Linked DNA regions of Macaca mulatta. The protein of the gene in region 1 binds, or shares a complex with, the protein of each later gene. Links are inferred from orthologs where the notes say so. Each region holds a gene or a part of one and is shown in the gene's direction. Other genes may lie near its edges.

Evidence for each region. The genes of interacting proteins can lie anywhere in the genome.
Region 2: CEP290 (region 1) and MKS1 share a complex: the UniProt entries of both Homo sapiens proteins name them as parts of the tectonic-like complex. The link is inferred for Macaca mulatta from reciprocal best matches to the Homo sapiens genes CEP290 and MKS1.
Region 3: CEP290 (region 1) and AHI1 share a complex: the UniProt entries of both Homo sapiens proteins name them as parts of the tectonic-like complex. The link is inferred for Macaca mulatta from reciprocal best matches to the Homo sapiens genes CEP290 and AHI1.
Region 4: CEP290 (region 1) and TMEM107 share a complex: the UniProt entries of both Homo sapiens proteins name them as parts of the tectonic-like complex. The link is inferred for Macaca mulatta from reciprocal best matches to the Homo sapiens genes CEP290 and TMEM107.
Region 5: CEP290 (region 1) and CC2D2A share a complex: the UniProt entries of both Homo sapiens proteins name them as parts of the tectonic-like complex. The link is inferred for Macaca mulatta from reciprocal best matches to the Homo sapiens genes CEP290 and CC2D2A.

Annotation. Positions count from the first base shown.
Region 1 is NC_133416.1:95,386,592-95,390,601, reverse strand, and holds the start of CEP290 (centrosomal protein of 290 kDa), read left to right. Parts: upstream 1-1,200; 5' UTR 1,201-1,375; intron 1,376-1,480; exon of another isoform or gene 1,481-1,670; intron 1,671-1,956; 5' UTR 1,957-1,983; coding exon 1,984-2,085; intron 2,086-2,251; coding exon 2,252-2,329; intron 2,330-3,724; coding exon 3,725-3,794; intron 3,795-4,010. UniProt on the Homo sapiens protein: Involved in early and late steps in cilia formation. Its association with CCP110 is required for inhibition of primary cilia formation by CCP110.
Region 2 is NC_133421.1:51,768,670-51,772,794, forward strand, and holds the start of MKS1 (tectonic-like complex member MKS1), read left to right. Parts: upstream 1-1,324; 5' UTR 1,325-1,347; coding exon 1,348-1,427; intron 1,428-1,850; coding exon 1,851-1,960; intron 1,961-3,797; coding exon 3,798-3,925; intron 3,926-4,125. UniProt on the Homo sapiens protein: Component of the tectonic-like complex, a complex localized at the transition zone of primary cilia and acting as a barrier that prevents diffusion of transmembrane proteins between the cilia and plasma membranes.
Region 3 is NC_133409.1:40,602,588-40,606,684, reverse strand, and holds the start of AHI1 (jouberin), read left to right. Parts: upstream 1-1,296; 5' UTR 1,297-1,484; intron 1,485-1,817; exon of another isoform or gene 1,818-1,879; intron 1,880-4,097. UniProt on the Homo sapiens protein: Involved in vesicle trafficking and required for ciliogenesis, formation of primary non-motile cilium, and recruitment of RAB8A to the basal body of primary cilium.
Region 4 is NC_133421.1:9,692,386-9,696,657, reverse strand, and holds TMEM107 (transmembrane protein 107), read left to right. Parts: upstream 1-1,471; 5' UTR 1,472-1,563; coding exon 1,564-1,650; intron 1,651-1,826; coding exon 1,827-1,894; intron 1,895-1,977; coding exon of another isoform or gene 1,978-1,995; coding exon 1,996-2,096; intron 2,097-2,933; exon of another isoform or gene 2,934-3,032; intron 3,033-3,199; coding exon 3,200-3,296; intron 3,297-3,541; coding exon 3,542-3,611; 3' UTR 3,612-3,866; downstream 3,867-4,272. UniProt on the Homo sapiens protein: Plays a role in cilia formation and embryonic patterning. Requires for normal Sonic hedgehog (Shh) signaling in the neural tube and acts in combination with GLI2 and GLI3 to pattern ventral and intermediate neuronal cell types.
Region 5 is NC_133410.1:14,515,481-14,519,490, forward strand, and holds the start of CC2D2A (coiled-coil and C2 domain-containing protein 2A), read left to right. Parts: upstream 1-1,209; 5' UTR 1,210-1,380; intron 1,381-4,010. UniProt on the Homo sapiens protein: Component of the tectonic-like complex, a complex localized at the transition zone of primary cilia and acting as a barrier that prevents diffusion of transmembrane proteins between the cilia and plasma membranes.

The DNA of each region.
Region 1 (4,010 bases):
AGTATATTTTTATTTTGTACTGAGCTATTTATTTTACCCAAATTGGGAGTTTAAAAAGAAATTCATTACTTATTTTCGAAAGGAAAATTTACCATCAAGTATAGTAAAATTTTTTTTAAAGCAGCGTTAAAAAAAAAAAAAAAGAAAGATGAGAAGCACTGGTACAGATAGTTGGAAATGTCATTTAGATTTAAATCTACAGCTTCTTAGGAAAGTTAGTTAGAGGTGTATCGCACTCCAGTATGGCTATGAGCAGATGAGCAAAACTTGCACAAGTAAGCGTGGTAAACACCAGAGAAGGCGCTTTCATGGAAGGACACCCTAGGTAACCAAGCAGTGACAATAGTACAGGTGAGTCCTCGGGTACCTTCTCTCTCCACCCCCGGCAGTGGCCCGGACAAGCACTAACCTCTCCTCTCTAGAGCCTTCCCTTTATACTAGCTCCACAACCATCAAGTCCCACCATCTGCGAAGGGAATGGTGCTACAGGTAAGGCTGGCGGGGTCAGAGGATGCCGAGACCTCTTGTCAATTCTTCGCTCGCCCCCAAACGAGGATCACGGCTGCGCGGCTCTCACTCTACCAAGAAAGATTCTGATACTAAACAAGGCTAAAACTTTTTGTTTTTTCCTTCTTACAGAAGGCACTACCTTGGACGCCGCCTGCAAACGCCTGAAGAGAAGGCAGGGTGTTTCCACTTTTTCAGAATGGGGCCAGGCCCTACGGCCCCAATAGCAGAAGCTTCTCTAACCCAGACTGCTGCCCTCAACTCCTCCTGATACGCTGACCCACAGCTCGACCTCACCTGGAAGCGGTTCCGCCAGGGGATGGCTTAGGAAAACCTCATGAAGAGCGGCCCAGCGAGTGACGCCACTAAAGCCACAGTCATGGTCTACCTCGTTCAGGCCACCAGCTCGTAGGCGCCTCAGCCACTGCGCCTCCCGCCTCTCGGTCCTTCCCCGCCGCCCCGGTACCGTCGCAGCCTTCCGCGTTGCACGCCGGGAGCGCCTTATCTCCTCTTCTCAGGGACTTCAGTTCCCAGCATGCACAAACCTCAGGCACATCTGCACTCTGGGATTTGGAGTCCTCGTTCCACGCCTTCTCATCATCCTGAACACCGAGTCCTGGGACTCCGGCGGAGAATCTAAACGTAAAGCATCACCCACGGTCGTGAATTGTAGGCTCTCTTTGCATCCGGGATCTTCTTCTGGCCCCGGCGGAGTTAGGGATGGTGTCGCTTAGCAGCCGCTGCCGCTTTGGCTTCCTTGGGGACCATTTGGCTGGACCCAGAGTCCGCGTGGAACCGCGATAGGGATCTGTCCAGCTTGGTGGTTGTGGTAGTGAGGGACCTCCGCTGGTTGCCAGGCTTGGTGTAGGTGGGTGGATCCCTGTAAGCAGGATCAGCGAGTCACTCCACGTTCAGGTTCTTTAGCCTTAGGGCCCGTGTGCCGCAGCGCAGCTACCCCGTCCCTTCCAGCCTCGGGTCCGTAATCCTGCCTTACTTCGGTTCCGGTTTCCGCCGCACAACTTCACTCATTCCAATTGTTAATTTCTGCTTCTTTTTTTTTTTTTTTTTCCAGCCCCAATTCTGCTTCTCCAAATCAAGGATCATTGTCAGCCTTCCACAGACCCTCGCGCTTGCCAAGATTAGGGTGTTCGCGCGCGTTGTGGGTAGGCGGTGTGGAGGAAGGGACCCAGAAATCTTAGTCCTAACTTATATTAGTGTTAGCAAGGAAGCCGTCACATTTTATTTAGCCGGTACACTCTCTGACAGTTTGTGCCGACTGCTATTTTTGATCAAGGCTATTTTGCCCACTTGTCTGTTTTGTGGCTAAGGCATAGTTCTTTGCTAACATAAGAAAGTTATAATGAAATAATCTGCAAAAAATGTAGGCTATTAGAAAACCAATAATGCTGTGTACCTTGAAAATGCTAATATCCACCTGTTTTGTTACAGAGGTGGAGCACAGTGAAAGAATTCAAGATGCCACCTAATATAAACTGGAAAGAAATAATGAAAGTTGACCCAGATGACCTGCCCCGTCAAGAAGAACTGGCAGATAATTTATTGATTTCCTTATCCAAGGTGCTTACTTGGTCAATAATAATAGATATATACATTAACTTATGATTATTAATAAAATATGAATTTTTTTTTCAGAAACAACTATTAATTGTCACAATCTGGAAGAGTTCTTATATTTTGCTTAAAGGTTATAAAATATAAAACAGTTGCTTTTCTGTTTACTTAGGTGGAAGTAAATGAGCTAAAAAGTGAAAAGCAAGAAAATGTGATACACCTTTTCAGAATTACTCAGTCACTAATGAAGGTTTGTATGTAGTAGGTTTTAATGATAGGTTTGGCTATTAGAGGAACTATAAAAATCTGTTCTTATATAAAGTAATCTTTGTGAAAATACTTGGTAATATCTACATCACCCCTCAAAAGTGCAATATATTTAAATGTAGATTAAGTATTTTAGTATGTAAAACATTGCTAGTTTCTACTTAAAGTTTCTAAAAGGGTATGTAGGGGAAATAGAATGAGTATGTTGAAAAATAACATAAGGAAATATATCCTGAGGTCCAAATGACAAATGCAGACAATGACTGCTATAGGGATTTGTTAAGAGGGGAAGTGATCTAAGAGGTGTCAGAAGACTTCACAGAGGATGAATACTGAGGAGTAGTTTTAGGTAAGTGGAAGGTAATGCAGTGGTAAGATAGTAAGGGAATTCTAGAGCTGTTGGTTACCATAAATAAATATTGAGGATAGGAAATAAGTTTATTCTTTACATTTGAGGAAATGCGGTGCAGCAAGTTTGTAGCAGGCTGTAGAGAAAACAAATCTTGGGTAGGTACTTTGAGATAGGTTCTTGAGGTCATTAAAGGTGTATTTTATGCTGTCAGCAATTGAGAAGGCGTTTTCGAACCACAGTTGATAGGTACAAAAATAGGCCTTAGGAAGGCAAAACTGAGTCTATTATATAGGACAAACTGAAGGAAATCGGAGCTTTGCAAACATCACATTATAGAGGAGTTTAAACCTGAAATTATGCATTAGAATAATAGCAATTGGAACAGAAAAAAAGTAGTGGAAAAACATTACAAAGAGATATGTTGCTTTACTGGATATAAGACTTGAGGACTTGAGGTAAAAGGGAGAATCAAAAATGTTTCATGCTATTAAAAATCTAGAAATTGTCGTCTTAAGTAAGAAAATTGCCTGGCATGGTGGCTCACGTCTATAATCCCAGCACTTTGGGAGGCCAAGGCAGGAGGATTGCCTGAGGCTGGGAGTTGGAGACCAGCCTGGATAATATAGTGAGACCTTGCCTCTACGAAAAAATTTGCTGAGCATGATGGCACACCAAGCATGATGGCATGCCGAGCATGATGGCACGCTGAGCATAATGGCATGCACCTGTAGTCCCAGCTACTCAGGAGACTGAGATGGGAAGATTGCTTGAGCCCAGGAGGCAGAGGTTGCAGTAAGCTGAGATTGTGCCACTGCACTCCAGCCTGGGTGACAAAGTGAGGCCCTATTTCAAAAGCGAAAAAAAAGGAGAGAAAAAATTATTTATTCATTCAACAAATATTTACTGAAAGTCTCCATGTGCCAGCCATTGCTGGCACTAATGAGCATAAGAAAACAAAATTTTTATTTTCAGTGCTTACATTCCAGTTTAAAGGCATATTGAAATAAACTTTTTTTAAATGTTTAGATGAAAGCTCAAGAAGTAGAGCTGGCTTTGGAGGAAGTAGAAAAAGCTGGAGAAGAACAAGCAAAATTTGGTAAGCACCTTGGAAAAAGTTTATTATGTTATTAAATAATGAGTTCCATTTGTTCATTAAGCTGTAGAAAATTAAATTCTATAAACTGTATATATTCAATTTATTTTTAATATATAACATTTATTTAATAATACATATTTCTAGACTCCTGTTTTATGGATCTGCCGTATAATACTTTTTGTTACCTTATAATCATGATGGACTCTTTTAAAAGAA
Region 2 (4,125 bases), on another chromosome or scaffold:
AAACTAGAATCAAGCTCCACTTTATCAGCTGTTGTGCATGTGGCACAGATTGCCTACTCACAAAAGGAAACATTAGAGAGACCATTTCTTAGGAGCTAGAAAGATGCCTTTTTTTTAATCTGTTAAAATTATTATTTTCCAGGTTAGAAATGTGTGCATTTATAGAATAAATTAGTAGGTGAGAAGCCATGAGGCAAAGTGGAAGGTGGTTAGGCTTCAAAAGACAGAAGAACTTGGGCTGGAATCCTAGTACTTTCACCACTTCCAAGTTTAGCAAGTCCTTTAAACCCTGGCCTTCACGAACTTCACTCTTAAAGTGAACAAAAATACCTTCTTGAGAGGCTTCTACAAGGATTTGGGACAATGAAAACAAAGTGCTGAAGCTGTACTAGATCATAAATAAATGGTGCTATTTATGGTGAGTTGGTGTTACACAACTAGTGGCTATGGCACCCAGAGCTTCCAATGCCAAATCATCAAACTGGCATGAGATTCCTGAGTTCAGGGGACAATTGCTTACTTTGTTGGAGGAGGACCAGATGTGAAAAAGCCTGATAAATGTTGACATTCCCAAGGCGCCAGGGCGCCAGACGTGAGGTTACAGCATGTCCTTCCTTTGCTAGTCCAACGAAGCATGACTTCTTAATGTCACTTTTTTGGCTTTTCAGGAAGCCCGTGCAGTATCTAAAGTGGTTTAATGATCCAAAACTAATACACACAAGGTAAGAACTAGTTCAATAATAACATCTTTTCCTTCCTTACTGTTGACTTCCTTGTTTTTTCTTTCTTTGTTCAGTGAATATCAACACAAAGACTAATAAATCTTCTGACACACTTTTTTGTCCTCCAAGAATGTATTTTCTTGTTTGGCTAAGGGCCATCACCTACCCTGACTCCTTTGGGAATAATGGGTGCATTTCTTACAGTTACATCCACCGATTTTCAGGCCAAAGTTTTCATGCGTTCAGTGGAAGGAACTGTGGCATGGTGGAAAAGGTAGAGGGCGAAGACTCAGATCACCTGGTCTCCATCATCATTTCTGCATCTGGCTATATGAGGTGGGCTGATGGCTGTGCCAGTTTCCTCATTTGCACCGCGCACGAGGTCCCGCTTTGGGTGAGCTTTTCTCGCATACATGGTAAGCGGTGATTGGCAGGACCCCGGAGCCCTCTTGGGCGTTAGGCTTGGGCTGCACTTGCACTGGGTGGCCTACTGCGACTGTGGCGCCGTGACGAGAACGGCGGGTTGCGCGCGCAGCACCTCCGTCGCCTCCCGATCCAGAGTCTCTGTTGCCAGGAAAACAGAGCGGCGCGCTTTCCGGCGCAGTCGCGGCGCGTCGCAGCTGTCATGGCGGAGACCGTCTGGAGCACTGACACCGGGGAGGCAGTGTATCGCTCCCGGGACCCCGTGCGCAACTTGCGCCTCCGGTAGTCACACCGCCCCAGCCCCGAGGCCCCATGGTTTTATGTCCTTAGATCATTCCAACCCGAACTCGGTGTTCCGAGGCCCCCACTTCTGCTTACAATCCCGACCACTTCTTCTCCGGGCTCCCCACTTCTTTCACTATCCGTACCCCCATCCACTCACAGTCTCCAAGAACCCCTTACAGACCCACCCAAGTCCATTCACGTCCTTGTTGCTCCCAGTTTCTCAGAGCCCTGTGTCCCCAGTACACCCTCTCACCCTCAGTCTTCCCCATAGGACCGCGCACCCACCCACCTCCTCTCCGTTGTCTGCACCCAGCACACCTTGGCAACCCCACCTCCTCCGTTTTGTTTCCCCAATCCTTGCTTTGTGTTCATCTCCTGGTTGCGTGTCTGGTAACAAATATTTTGGGCTTTTCTTGACAGGGTTCACCTGCAAAGAATCACATCAAGCAACTTTCTTCATTATCAGCCTGCTGCCGAGCTCTGGAAGGACCTCATAGACTTGGCCACTTTTAGGCCTCAGCCAACTGCCAGTGGGTGTTATGGTGATGATGTGCCATCTACTACTAATTCTGATACTAATCAGAATTGTGGCCAAATGTAGTGAGATAACAAGTACTATACTTCTGATACGTTATAGATTTGCCTGGCAATCTACATTCTATTTGTGGCATTTTTAAAAGAGAAAACGTGTCCCAAACTCTAAATACACATATAAACACTTTAAAAAACAATTTTTAAACTGGGGACTGCTTGAAAAATATACATATAATGTGCATATGAAGATCAACTATATTCTTGTGGTTTTCCTTATCTGGGAAACCGAAAGAATGAGGAGGAGAGGACAGAGTGGTTGTGTCAGGTCACTAGTCTGTCTGCCTTTATTGTTTCTCTTTCTGTTCAGAGCTGTTCCTGGGCAAGAGTGTGGGCTTGCGGGTTGTGAAACATGTGTCTCTGAAAAAGGCATACTCAGCCAGCCAAGAGTGTATTAGATTAGATTTGTTTTCTTTGTTTTTGTTTGTGTTTTGTTTTGAGACAGAATCTCATTCTGTTACTCAGGCTGGAGTGCAGTGGTATGATCATAGCTCACTGTAAACCTTGGTCTCCCAGGCTCAAGCCATCCTCCTGCCTCAGCCTCCCAAGTAGCTGGGACTACAGGTTCACACCATTACACTCGGCTGATTTTTTAAAAGTTTTAGTAGAGAAAAGGTCTTGCTCTGTTGTCTAGGCTGGTCTCAAACTCCTGGGCCCAAGTGATCCTTCCACCTTAGCCTCCCAAAATGTTGAGATTACAGGCGCGCGTCACTGCGTCCAGCCAGATTTGGTTCTGTTAAAAAATCATTTATTTGCCTTCACTGTCCTCTCCTGACACTTGGCCTCCTAAATTTCAGTGTTTGTGATACTACATATATGGCTTTAGAAATAGTAAAGATAAAAATGCCAGGGTTATTTTCTAGCAAACGCAGACAGTTTGGACTGCGGAAGGGCTGGCTATTCAGCTTATATCTAAATTTCAGTTTCTTTTTTTTTTTTTCTTTTTGAGACGGAGTCTTGCTCTGTCGCCCAGGCTGGAGTACAGTGGCCGGATCTCAGCTCACTGCAAGCTCCGCCTCCTGGGTTCATGCCATTCTCCTGCCTCAGCCTCCCAAGTAGCTGGGACTACAGGCGCCTGCCACCTCGCCCAGCTAGTTTTTTGTATTTTTTAGTAGAGACGGGGTTTCACCGTGTTAGCCAGGCTGGTCTTGATCTCCTGACCTCGTGATCTGCCCATCTCAGCCTCCCAAAGTGCTGGGATTACAGGCTTGAGCCACTGCGCCCAGCCCCTAAATTTCAATTTCTTATATCCAGTTAGATTAGATATTTCCTGGAGGAGGCTGGGCGCAGTGGCCCACACCTGTAATCCCAGCACTCTGGGCGGCCAGGGCAGGTGGATCACCTGAAGTCAGGAGTTCAAGATCAGCCTGGCTAACATGGCAAAACCCCATCACTACTGAAAATACAAAAATTTGCCAGGTTGGTGGCGTGTGCCTGTAATCCCAGCTACTTGGGAAGCTGAGGCAGGAGAATCGTTAAACCCAGGAGATGGAGGTTGCAGTGAGCTGAAACAGTGCCACTGCACTCCAGCCTGGGTGACAGAGTGAGACTCCATCCCCCCCACCCCCAAAAAAATTCCTGGAGGGTATTTTCTTTTACTCAAATTAGAGTAGTGATTAAGACTTCTTGGGTTCTAATCTTGGCTTCCACTCATACTAACTCTTATATACAGCCTCTCTAGCATTTCTCTAGGTTGAGTGCTTAATAAATTGCTGAATTCCAGCTGGTTTTTGTGGCAAATATAAGAATAGGAACTCTGGTTATAATCAACCACAGAGCAAGAAGTGGTGCTGGTTCGGCTCAAGCATTTGACTCACTCTGTTGTCTTTGGAGGTGGACACCGCCCAGAGGAAGATGAAGAGGAGGAGATTGTGATTGGGTGGCAGGAGAAGCTCTTTAGCCAGGTGAGCCAGTGTCTTTTGTCTGCTCTGTCTGTTCCACCTGGTCTGCCTCCACATGACTGGTGATACATATTGCCAAAGTGATTTCCAGACAGGTTGTAACGGTTTATACTTCGCCCTGTTGTGTTTAAAGGGCAGTGTAACAGGGATTGCCACTACTCAGTTTTATGATTCTGGGTGAGGCACTTTTCATCTCTGGGCTA
Region 3 (4,097 bases), on another chromosome or scaffold:
TAAAATTGGAACAATAAGCTAATGAGAGATGAAATTAGTCAGGGAGATGGAGCATATTGTATCCTAGGCAAAGCAATCATTTTCTCTTACACGTTGCCTTTCAAGAATTTTCAGCAAGAGAGAGCCATTATCCGATTTACATTTTTAGTCAGGACATTCTGATAGCAGTGTGGGGAATTTTAAGAGTCAAAACTGGAGTCACAGGACTGGTAAAGCGCCCACCTGAGGAATTTAAAAAGAGAGAATGAATATGCTTTGGTATAAGATGCATTTAGAATACTCTACAGTTCTTACTAAAACACTGGGAGCAAGTGTTTGACACTTGATAGTGCAAGATTACAGCAAGATAGTGGTGGCTTACAGCAAGATAGAAATCTAGGAGAGTAGGTTTAGAATGCAAAGTTGAACAGCTCAGTTTGTACACAGCGGATTAGTAATCTTTCTCGTTGCTTCCTCAAAGGATTTAGGGAAGCACATGGCATAGAGATATAGTTTGTAAGGTGTGGCAATGCCAGTGAGAATGGAAAAGCTGGCCTCCATAAACTCTCTCTCTGTACAAACGAAGCAACAGGTTACAGCGCGTGGCTGTAGGTACAGGAAATGGCGTGTATTCATGAGTCCACGAGTAGCGCAACTAGTATTTTTCCAGCCCTGGTGACTCAGAGCTGAAGATGGCGCCTGCGGCAGAAATCAGAACAGTGGGAGGGAGCGTTAGGTACAGAAAAGTATGGCGTTTTAACTTTTGTTTTCCACACACAGGGAGATAGCTCTAAAGGAATCGTGCATAATTTTTTCTTAAGATTTTGTCTGTAGTACAACTTCATTTTCCACGCTTTAAAATCATGTTTTCTTTTGTGGGCGCGACCGCGTGGGGAGTGACAAATCTGTTTATTTGCCTCATTCATTGATTTTCTTATTTTGGGCGACTTCCATAACAGCCTCCCCAGTTTTCCTTTGCCCCGTCAGTTTTTCCCTGCGCTTGCTACAATTCTAAGGCGGAAAGAGTATTTTTGGAGGTGAAGGCGGGGAAGACTCAAGCTCTGTGGGAGCACCCGCGCATTTCCGACTCCCTTCCCGCTCGCACGGCCTCGGAGGCTGGAGGCCCGTAAGGTCCCCGAAGCGCGCGCCCACCAACAGCCTGAGGGCCCCGGTGCAGGCGCCGCGCGGCCCCTTCTCCCGGGCGGAGGCGAAGGCGGTGGCGGCGCGGGGGCGGGGGCGGGGCCGCGGTCCGGGCCTAGCGCGCGAGACGCGTCGGTCGCCATGGGAACGGCGGTGTAGGCAGGCGCTGACGTCAGCAGGCCGCGAGTCGTCCGCACTGCGGCACAGAGCAGTGGCTTGCTCTCCGAACCCGGGTCCCTGGCGGGTAAGGTGGCTTCGTGGCCGCCTCACTTAGCGCCCGCGCCGCTGGGCGCGGGGGAGTCGATTTGCACTGTTCCGGGTGTCGGCTTGGGCGGGACGGACGGTTCTGCCTACTCCTCCTCTCCGTAAGTACCTCGTGGGTTCGCTGGTGGCGGGAGCGCGGGCCGGGGTGCTCGGCCTGCCCGGCCCTCTCTGGGGCGGCGTGTCGGGGCTGCTGGAGTCCGAGAGCGCGGGGGCTGATCGCGGATTGACCGGGGAGCGTGGGCCGGGTGTCCCGGAGGAATGCGATTTCCCGGAGTCCTCAACGTACTTTTCCGCTTCTTTCACTGGTCTCGGTGTCTCCGGAGAGTTGAGCATGGTGTTCTGATAGGGAATTCAATCTTTGCCTTTCCTACTCCCGATTCTTGTTTAAATGCTTTTAAATCAGATGCGTACTGAGTGTGTTTATTTCCTTTTAGAGTGTCATCCTGGGGCTGAATCTTCAACCTGTCAAAGCCTACTTAATTACGTCTGAGAAAAGGTGATCAATTTGTTAAACTTATAAGAGCCAGATTATATTAATAGGGTTGTTTCGAGATGCATAAAAATAGAATAAAAATGTAGACCATTTAAGCATCCTTATCAAAGGTTGTGCTGCGTTTGGCATTCCTGTGAAAACATCTAATGTGAAAATAAAGTTTTTCCCTTTTGAGAAAGAGATGCCAACAGTTTTTTCACCTGTTGCATTAGCAGTTACTGTTATTGCTTGGTTTAGGAGGAAGATTGCTTCTTATGAGTACTCTGGGAAATTTTTTAAAGAATGCTTGAAAAAATTAAAATACCAAAAGTGTTTTTAAACCATACTTAGAATCTTGTTTATGAAGAATAATATTTATGAAGTTAGAATCTTGTGTACTTATGAAGAATCTTGTTGATCTATTCATTGAATGTTGTGTACAGGATTTTTGTTTGTCTTTTTTTCCCTTGCGATAACATTTGGTTAAAGAGGGAATTATCAAGCCTCTCAATTTTTTCTCCCATTGATATTGAGTCACATATTGGCTGATAATCAGGTGGTCTGTAAAATAAAATGAAATGAGGTGTAATCCATTTAATTTTCCTACATAGTATCTCTTAGAAGCTCCTGTGAAAGGGTTTGTGAGGGAGAAGTTGTAAAATAATGGAATATATAAGATTCGGAGGTTTCTTTTAAAGTCCGACCTGAATTTTCGCAGATAATGTTACTAATTAAATATTAGTCATTAATTCTATCATATGTTTGCTGTAGTACACATTAAGATTTAGAGATGGCTGGGCGCAGTGGATCAGGCCTGTAATCCTAGCACTTTGGGAGGATCAAGAGTGGGTGGATCACTTGAGGTCAGGAGTTCAGTATCGGCCTGGCTAATGTTGGTGAAAACCCATCTCTACTAAAAATACAACAATTAGCCGGGCGTGGTGGCGCACAACTGTAGTCCCAGCTGCTAGGGAGGTTGAGGCAGGGGAATTGCTTGAACCCAGGAGGCGGAGGCAGCAGTGAGCTGAGATTGTGCCACTGCACTCCAACCTGGGCAACAGAGCAAGACTTTGTCTCCAAAAAAAAAAAAAATTAGAGATGATTTCTATAATGTATTTGCTGTGTTATTAAATAATATTAGTATTTATTCAGTTGTGTATTAAGCTATTAACAGTAAATAATTCTATGATTTCTGTATTTTATTAATAATTACTTATTTTTAATACAATAATACTGGACATAAAGTAATTTTATTGCAGTGTACTCATTACTTTGCTTTTTGGTATTTTCTCCTTGCAGTACTAAAACAGGTGCCATTTTAAATTCCCAGACAAGGAAAAACCAAGGATTAGAAATTAAGTAGCTTACCCAATGCCACACATCAGTAAGTGGTGACACTGGAGGTCAAACCTGAGTCTTTTTTACTCTAGGACCGTTGCTACTGCTTCGCTTTGCTTTGCTTCTCGTGTTTTCTCTTCTCTCTCCTCTTTTCTTTCATAGTGGCAGATACATAACTATAGAGAGCATTGGCGTGGCCTCCAAAGCTAGCAGTTTGGTGGGAGACAGAACATTTAACCAGGATGAAAATTCAGGGCTGAGGTGGAGGGAGTTACAAAGATTCAGGCACCCTGGGAGCACAGAAGAGAAGTGCTTCACCGCCCTTCAAGGTGCGAATGCTCTCTAGAGAAGATACTTGCCTTCAAAGGATAATGAGGAGTTTGTTAGAGTGACAAAGGAGGAAGGACATTTTTCAGGAGAGGGGATATATGTGTAATGATACAAAAGCAAGAGAGGACGTGGCACATGTGAAGGCCTGGAGGTAGTTTCACATGGCTGGAACACAGTGTATGGTGTGAAGGGGACATTTCATAAATGGCCTTGGACCTCAGTGGTAAGGACTTGATATTTTTTTCAGTGTGTGATTGGGAGCTAGTGAAGAATTTTAAGCAAAGAAATGACACCGTCACATTTGAATTTTAGAAAATTACACTGATTGCTGTGTAGATGATGATTTATTTTTTAAAAGGGTAAGGTGATAGTGGCATGGAAACAATCTTAAAACAAACAGCATAATCCTTCCACAGTGTTTTTGTCCCAGAGTTACTGTCTCATGTCACTGCCTTTAGGGGTGGTGGAAAGACAGTTGGAAGAATTCTGTAAAGAATTGTCTACATGTCCCTTCTACAGGGGTCACCTTCCATTCACCCCTCAGCCCCAGCCTGCTAGGTTTCTGCCCCTCCAT
Region 4 (4,272 bases), on another chromosome or scaffold:
GTTGTGCTCTTGTTGCAGAGGCTGGAGTGCAATGGCACGGCTCACTGCAACCTCCACCTCCCGGGTTCAAGCGATTCCACTGCCTTAGTAGCTAATCGAGTAGTAGTAATCGAGTAGCTGGGATTACAGGCACGCGCCACCACATCCGGCTAATTTTGTATTTTTAGTGGAGATGGGGTTTCAGCATGTTGGTCAGGCTTGTCTCGAACTCCTGACCTCAGATGATCCGCCCTCCTGGGCCTCCCAAAGCGCTGGGATTACAGGCGTGAGCCACTGTGCCTGGCCCGCGTATCCCTGTTTGTAGCACCTATTATCTTACGGATTTATTTGTTTGCATGTCTGTTGTTGATCTCCCTGACTAGAATACTATTACTAGGTAATAAATAAATATATAAAAATATTTGTTGAAGGAATGAGAAATGCCTCTTGGGCTTGTACTTTAGTCTGGCTAAAGGCACTGAGACGTCGAGTGGGAAGTAGGAAGATATTGTTCTCCTGGGAAATGGGCCGGGAGTTTCCTTGAGGATGGGACTTGACTGAGCAATTAGAGAAGAACTTTCAGATCTGCAGGGACCTGCGCTGAGGCCCAAAGGTCATGACGTCGCCGGTGATAAGAGCTTCCTGGACTGTAGCTGGGCAATGTCGGAGGTCCAGCACCTCCAAGAGATAAAGAAATCTAAGTTGAGTTTCCCTTCCCGTAGGCTCCAAGCCTCCCAGAGACGCAGGGACTGTACCATTCCCTTCGTCCACTCCCACCTTTCCAGCCACCTTGCTTTGCTCTTATTCCCACGCTAGTTTAAGGACGCTGACCACTTTTTGCACTCTGCAAATCCTTCACCAAACTGAGCAAAGTAGTCTGAGAGAAATCAGTCTTCCTCAAGGAAGGTTCAGGCCTAGGGTCCTCAGACAACCAGGGGCTCTGTGACAATCTGTAACTGCCGAGCAGTCCAGGAACACCGGCCTCTCCACGTTCGGGTCCCTTGTTTCTCAGGCCCAGCTTGGTGGGAAGTTAAAGGCATGAGGAGAGGAGGAAGGGGAGCGGGTGTGAGTCTTCGGCATGGCGGGGACCTCAGCCCGGCGTGGCGGTGGGAGTGATCTCAAGTGATCCACAACTGGGCAGCGTAGCTGGGGCTGGGGGCCGCTCCCGGCGTGGGCAACCGCGGAAGCAGAGGTGTCCCCAGGCTAGGCCAGGGTGGGTTTCCGTTCGTCGGCCCTGCGTGGGCAGATCGGGCGCTGCGGGGCTGTGCCACCCCTCACCCTCTGAGAAACAAAGGGCCTGGCTGCGCACGGGTACCCAGCCATTGGGTTAGAAGCTCCTTCGGGTACCCCTGACCTGAGTTAGCCCTGAAAGACCCACAGCAGATGGAGAATGTACTGCTCTCGCGAGGTTTTCCGAGAACGCGGCAGCACGCCCGCGTACGCGGTTACCAAGGCAACTGGGCGGTGCCTGAGCTGGCGGAAAGGAGGAGTTCGTCTAGATTTGTCCGCTTGCTGGTGGACTTGCGGGAGTCGCAGTCTCTGAACTTCCAGCCTCAGAGACCGCCGCTCTTGTTCCCAAGGGCCATGGGCCGGGTCTCAGGGCTTGTGCCCTCTCGCTTCCTGACGCTCCTGGCGCATCTGGTGGTCGTCATCACTTTATTCTGGTCCCGGGTAAGACCCACGGCTGCCCTCCGTCCGCCCCCATTCCCATCTCGGAGTCGTCCCCGCCCCACCCTGCCCCTCTCCCAGTGTCTTACCCACTTGGGTTTTCTCGTGTTCCGCCGTCCCTAGGCCTGCCCAGCAGCCTGCCCCTTTTTCACTTCTCTTCCTCTCTGCCCTGCTCCCAGGACAGCAACATTCAGGCCTGCCTGCCTCTCAGGTTCACCCCCGAGGAGTATGACAAGCAGGACATTCAGTGAGCTCTTGGGACGGGGTGGCCAGAACGAAGAGGTGGTGGGAGTGGAGGGGTCTTAGAAGAAGTCCAAAGGCCTGGGCCAGTCCACTTCCTCTCTGCAGGCTGGTGGCCGCGCTTTCTGTCACCCTGGGCCTCTTTGCAGTGGAGCTGGCCGGTTTCCTCTCAGGAGTCTCCATGTTCAACAGCACCCAGAGCCTCATCTGTATCCTTTCTGCCTGCCCACCTTTCCCACACGACCCATTTCTATCAGGACTCCCTTCAGCCACCTGACACAATAGTGTCTGCTGTAGCCAGTCTCTCCAGTTCAAAGATCTTCAACCATGTGCTAAATCCTGCTGTTTACTAGGCACTTAAAATTCCGAAATGAGAGTAAAATACAGTTTTTGGCCAGGCACGTTGGCTCACGTCTGTAATCCCAGCACTGTGGGAGGCCCGCGCAGGAGGCAACATAGTTAGACCCCGTGTCTACAAAATAAATAGTAATAATAAAAACTCCACTTTTTTTTTTTTTAACCATGAGGAGGTAGATACACATCTGTAATTCAGTGTGATAAGCAGTGTGCTATGGGAGTGTGTAAAGATAGCACAGGCAGGGTGCGATGGCTCACGCCTGTAATGCCAGCACTTTGGGAGACCGAGGCAGGTGGATCACCTGAGGTCAGGAGTTCAAGACCAGCCTGACCAACATAGTGAAACCCTGTCTGTACTAAAAATACAGAAATTAGTCGGGCGTGGCGGTGCACTCCTGTAATCCCAGCTACTCAGGAGGCTGAGGAAGGAGAATTGCTTGAACCCAGGAGGCAGAGGTTGCAGTGAGCCGAGATCGTGCCACTGCACTCCAGCCTGGGCGACAGAGCAAGACTCTGGCAAAAAACGAAAGATATAAAGCACATTGGGAACTCAGAAGAGGCAACGGAAGCCAGGCACATGGGTCAGAGAATTGTGGACCAGGAGGACCAGGACACTGGAGGCTGATTCCAGCGCATATCAAGTCGCTGTCAGCACTCCTGTGTGGCATAGCAGGAGAGCCTACTCTTACCTCTCATCTGAAGGATCCAGGCTGGCCCCTAGATATGGAGTAGGGTAGCCTGAGATCCCATCTGCGCAGTCACTTCTGGTCTCTCCTCACATGACTGTCCTAAAATTCAGAAGTCGGGGATGCTGACTCTAGCCCTTGCAATATGGTGAGGGAGCAAACGATGAACCTGAATGCAGATGCCAACCCCACCACTGGCCTTTGGCCTTTTCTGACCCCTCACTATCTGTCGATCCAAAGACTTTCCTTAACTGTGGTGCCTTCTCAAGCCATTGGGGCTCACTGTAGTGCATCCGTGGCCCTGTCCTTCTTCATATTCGAGCGTTGGGAGTGCACTACGTATTGGTACATTTTTGTCTTCTGCAGGTGTGGTAGCATCCAATATTCGGGAATGAGGGAGGAAGGCTGACCCTAAACCTGAGGGTTTTTCCCCTACCCAGCCCTTTCCTCTATGTGGGAGATACCAGATCCACTTAACATCCTGTAGTCTTTTGAATTTTCATTCCCTACCCCATGCCACCTGTCCTACACTTTCAGGGGTGGGGTCTCTGGTTTGGAGATTTGGGTATTTATATTGAACGGGTTTCTGAATCTACCACTTGCCTCGGTAGTGCCCTTCCAGCTGTCACTGAAATGACTTTATTCGTCACCGTCTTTGGGCTGAAAAAGAAGCCTTTCTGAGCACCTTCATGACGGGAACCTAAGGACGAAGGCTACAGGGGCAAGGGCCGCTTCGTATTCCTGGAAGAAGGAAGGCATAGGCTTCGGTCCTCCCCTCGGAAACTGCTTCTGCTGGAGGATATGTGTTGGAATAATTACGTCTTGAGTCTGGGATTATCCGCATTGTATTTAGTGGTTTGTAATAAAATATGTTTTGTAGTAAGATTAAGACATATACAGTTTTCAGGGCACAATTGAAATGGCGAAACTACTGAAGAAAAAAAAAGAAGCAACGTTATTTTCTAGTTCTGCAGACCGTAAGATACTTGGTATCGCTTCTATTTTGGTTATTACGGTAGTTGTCTGGCGGAAGGGAGTGGGCGGAGATATGTAAATAGAAAGTGCTTACAGTTAGAACGTCCAGCACGTAAATGATCGGAGCATTCTGGGAAAAAGAAATTTATTCCTTTTCGGCAGCCGAACGAAAAAATTCTTTTAAAAATGTGCAAGCAAATATGGCAATACAACTGGAAGGATGCTAAGTAGTAGGGTTACTTATACCAACGCGTCGTGAACTCACCCTAGCTGTAAACGGAATCTTTTTGACTGAGTGCGGAATGTCGGCTATTTAGAAATATCGTCAGGTGGGATAATCCTTACCTGTTCCTCTTTTGGAGGGCAG
Region 5 (4,010 bases), on another chromosome or scaffold:
AATCCACTCTTGCAATAATGGCATTAATACATTCATGAGGGCAGAGTCCTACAGCCTAATTGCCTCTCATTAGGTCCCGCCTCCCCACAACATTGTATTAGGGATTAAGTTTCCAATACATGCTTTTGGGGAGACACATACAAATCATAGAACATGGAATGCCACACAGGACCACATAGGGAAGAACCAGTGTTGGTCAGAAGGCAGAAGGGAGACAGCAGAGTACAGAGCAGAGCCTTTACTAGGGTTTTCCCAGGAAGGAATAGGTGACACAGGGTAGGGTGCTGAGTAAATTTAGGACTAGATAGCTTGAATAATCGTGGTGTTCTCTGGGCTATAGTGGTCTGGTATCTGGACCTGGGGTGACTTGGGACAGGAGGAATATTGGCTTAGTGTGTGAGAGTTTGAAAATGGAGATGGTTGGTTGTGTGGGCTCTGGATTGGTTGGCTTGTATATGAGACTTTGCATATTTCAGGGGAATCATTTGCTATCTCTAGAAATTAGCTAACCTAGGAGAATCAGTTTCTCCAGGATCAAGGCTCCAAATGCCAGAGCATCAAGAATACAATCAATACACATACACACAAACGTACACACAAAATACACACAGATACAGATACACACAAACACATGTGCACATACACACTAGTCTATTTGGAGTGTGGTTTCCTTGGCTCCATTCATTCTATTACTCTTCCAGCTACTTTGCCTCTTTCCTCTCTCTCTCTTTTTTTTTCTTTTCAACTGTTTTGAGCCATAACATTTATATCCGTTTTTAGGAATTGCAGTGGGATTCAGAGAATAGGCAAAAATTAAACTTGTGCATTCAACCTTCCACTTTTAACTGGAAAACACTTGAGCGCAACATTTGCTGGTACCCTGCAGGACCTCCACAGAGCTTTTGCTGCTGCCACGTTAGACAGCTTCACCATGTAATGATGATCTTTTAAGATTCTAAATCGCCCCACCTCTGAGCCTGTTCTTCATTGGAAATGCAAGACAACCAGATGACATGAGGGAGGGGCGGCTCTTAAGGCTTAATCTAATTTCCAGTGCTGCCCATGTTGATTTCTCTCAGTCCTTCTCCAGCAGGCTGTGCGTCTCTGCTTACCCAGCATGCTTGTACTCCACTACTGGAAGTAACCTGTCACTTTAAAAGAAAAAAAAAAGCCACCGAGTGACCTTCCTTAGGAACGGGTTGCTAAGCTGGTGTTTTTGCTCCAAGACATGGCTGCAGCTTCCCAGGGAGGAGCCCAGGGGCATCTCCAACACTCAGCCTTTCCCTCCGGACCCTTTTAAAAGATTCTACAGCACCATCTCTCTCCACTTCCATCCTAGAAAGCAGAATCTGCAAAGTGCCTTTTGTAAAGTTTCTTAAGGTAAATCAGTCCCTAACCGGACTTTGGGCTGCAACAATGATTTCCTGTTTTCAGTTACCCGGCTTGAAATTCAGTCTCTCCCGGATACCATGAGACTGGATTTAATGAATTGTAAATTTAGGGGCTCTCATCATTATTTATGTTTTTACTTTCTGAAATGGGAACATAGACCATTACTTGGCAGCTTTGATTTGAGCTGCTATCTGGTATCTGGTTTGCAGGAAATGTAAGTCCAGTTCATCACAAGCCCTGAGTGAAAAGCTCTGTGAACCATTAGCTGCATGTTGCACTTACGGGCCTTTTAGTTCAAACTGGCTTAAGGTGAGAAGCACTAGTTACTGCGAAATACACTTTTCTTGGTATTAGACAGAGAAAGGGCTACTAACCACAGTGCTGAGAGTTGCTGTGCTGTCCAAAGACTTCAAGAAAATCTACTGGCTACAACTTAAGCTGACTGTTTGTTTCCCCTCATTGCAAAGAGGTGATATGAAAAGCTAATAAAGTCGAATAAGATATATGTTTGCTATTGCATTTTCATATAACCTTTTCTGCAAGTAAATTCAGTGCCAGCATGAAATCTCTCTCTCTCTCTCTCTCTCTCTCTCCGTATATATTTATATATACACAAATATATATATCTCCTAGAGCCCACTTATAGAGTCATTCATTCAAACATTTATGGAGCATCAACAATGCACCAGGCAATGAACTTAAGTTTAGAGGGTGCAAACATAAATTAGACCAGGTCAGAAGCTCAGAGTTTGCTGGGAAAATAGACCTATAAACACATGATAAGAGTACAATGAGCTAAGTGCCATAAGAGATTTATAAAACACTGAAAGCACAGCGGGATGACATCCAGGGAGGGGCTTCCAGCACTTACCACATTGTGTAAATGCACTGGCCATATATCATATAACACAGCTCAAATATGGTCCCCATATGTACTCTTCAAAGCCAATGTATATTATATTGAGCTGATTCAATGATTCTATAAAGCTATTTGTCACTAACCTTATGCTAAGGGAAACTGCAGCTGGAATAACTTATAGAATAAGACAATGTATTCCAAAAGAATGTATGTGGCACCTCCCCAGGTGTCCAAGCTCCAGGATGGAACAGAAAAATATTCTCACGGTGTGAGGAAGAAAATACTCCTGGGTAGAAGTGCAGGAGGTTGCAGAAGCACCATACATGGAAACAGCAAGGCAACTGCCCTGGGCCTGGCTGAAGGCAACGAGAGATGGAACATGAGTTATGGTAGCTGGGGGTTGAAGATTGGAGCCAAAGGTGGGTGGGCTTGAAAATCACCTAAGGTCTTTTTCATGACTCCTCTTCTATCCCCCAAGCTCTTTTCCCTCCTCATTCCTTTTTTCCACTTTCCCTCCCCACAATCACTTTTTCTTATTAACAAAACCTACCAATATTGAGAGCCCAGTCTGTGCTAGGCATTTTGCTACACACATTTCATCATTTAGCCCTTATAAATTAATCATCCTTCAAGGTAGGAAGTATGATTGCAATGTTGCAGACAAAAAAAAAAAAAAAAATGTGTCTCAGAGAAGGGAGGACATTGTTCCAAGATCACACAGCTAATAAAAAAAGCTGAAGTTGGAACTCAGGTCCACATATTCCTTGGCAAAGAAATACGTGGGCCACTCTTCCTATAAACCCATGTTTTTGCCATCCTGGAGTAGGGCATATATATTGCATGATTTTTTAAGCAACCAATATGGAGTTGAGATGCATTGTATCTCAACCTACAGGTATGGCTCTGATCCACTGATGACTCTTAAGAATAGACCATTTATTCAGATGAAGGTGTCAGTACTTTCCTTGAAAAAAATGTTTGGTTTTCTGCACTGAGTAAAATAAATAATTGACTTAATGTAGCCTAAGCCTTTTCTCACCAGTGCTTCACAGCTTTCAACTGTAAATATTTCCAGTTCAATAATTATTCTATAGAATAATTATTGATGCCATTACAAAAGTAAGAATAAATGGTGAGACAGAGGGGTAGAGTGGAGTGAGGGAGGACTTGGGAATCAGAGTCTTGGGGTCAAGTTCTGGATGTGACATTTAATAATTATAACCTTGGGCAAATCATGCAAACTGTCAGAGCCTCAGTTTATTCATACACAAATTGGGGCACATACTGCTAAGCCAGACATGTTATTGTGAGGACTAAAGAGAACATATGTCTAGAGTTAGCACAAAATAAGTGTGCAGTAAATCATAGTTATTTTGATGTTGTCAGTAGGAATATATTAACAAGTACCAATGCATAAGATGATGGCAAGCTGCATATTAAAACCATGCAGTACTGATTTATGTTTTCTTAGCAACAGTGTTCATATAAAAAGTAAATTTCGTTGTCATTTGATTTCCTTAGAAACTCATTTAAAGGAAATGATCAGGAAAGAATGAGGAGAAAAGAAAATCCCATTACATTTTTCATTTTCTACTTCTATTTTTTATTTCATATAAAGCATTTTTTAACTTATAGAGAACTTTTTTTAGTTACTAAAATATTTCACAGATTTTTTGTTTGTTTGTTTTGGTTTTCTTTCAGTTTGCAATGACCGGAGTTGTTTATTAGAGAACTCTTGTGTACTTTTACATTTCATCCT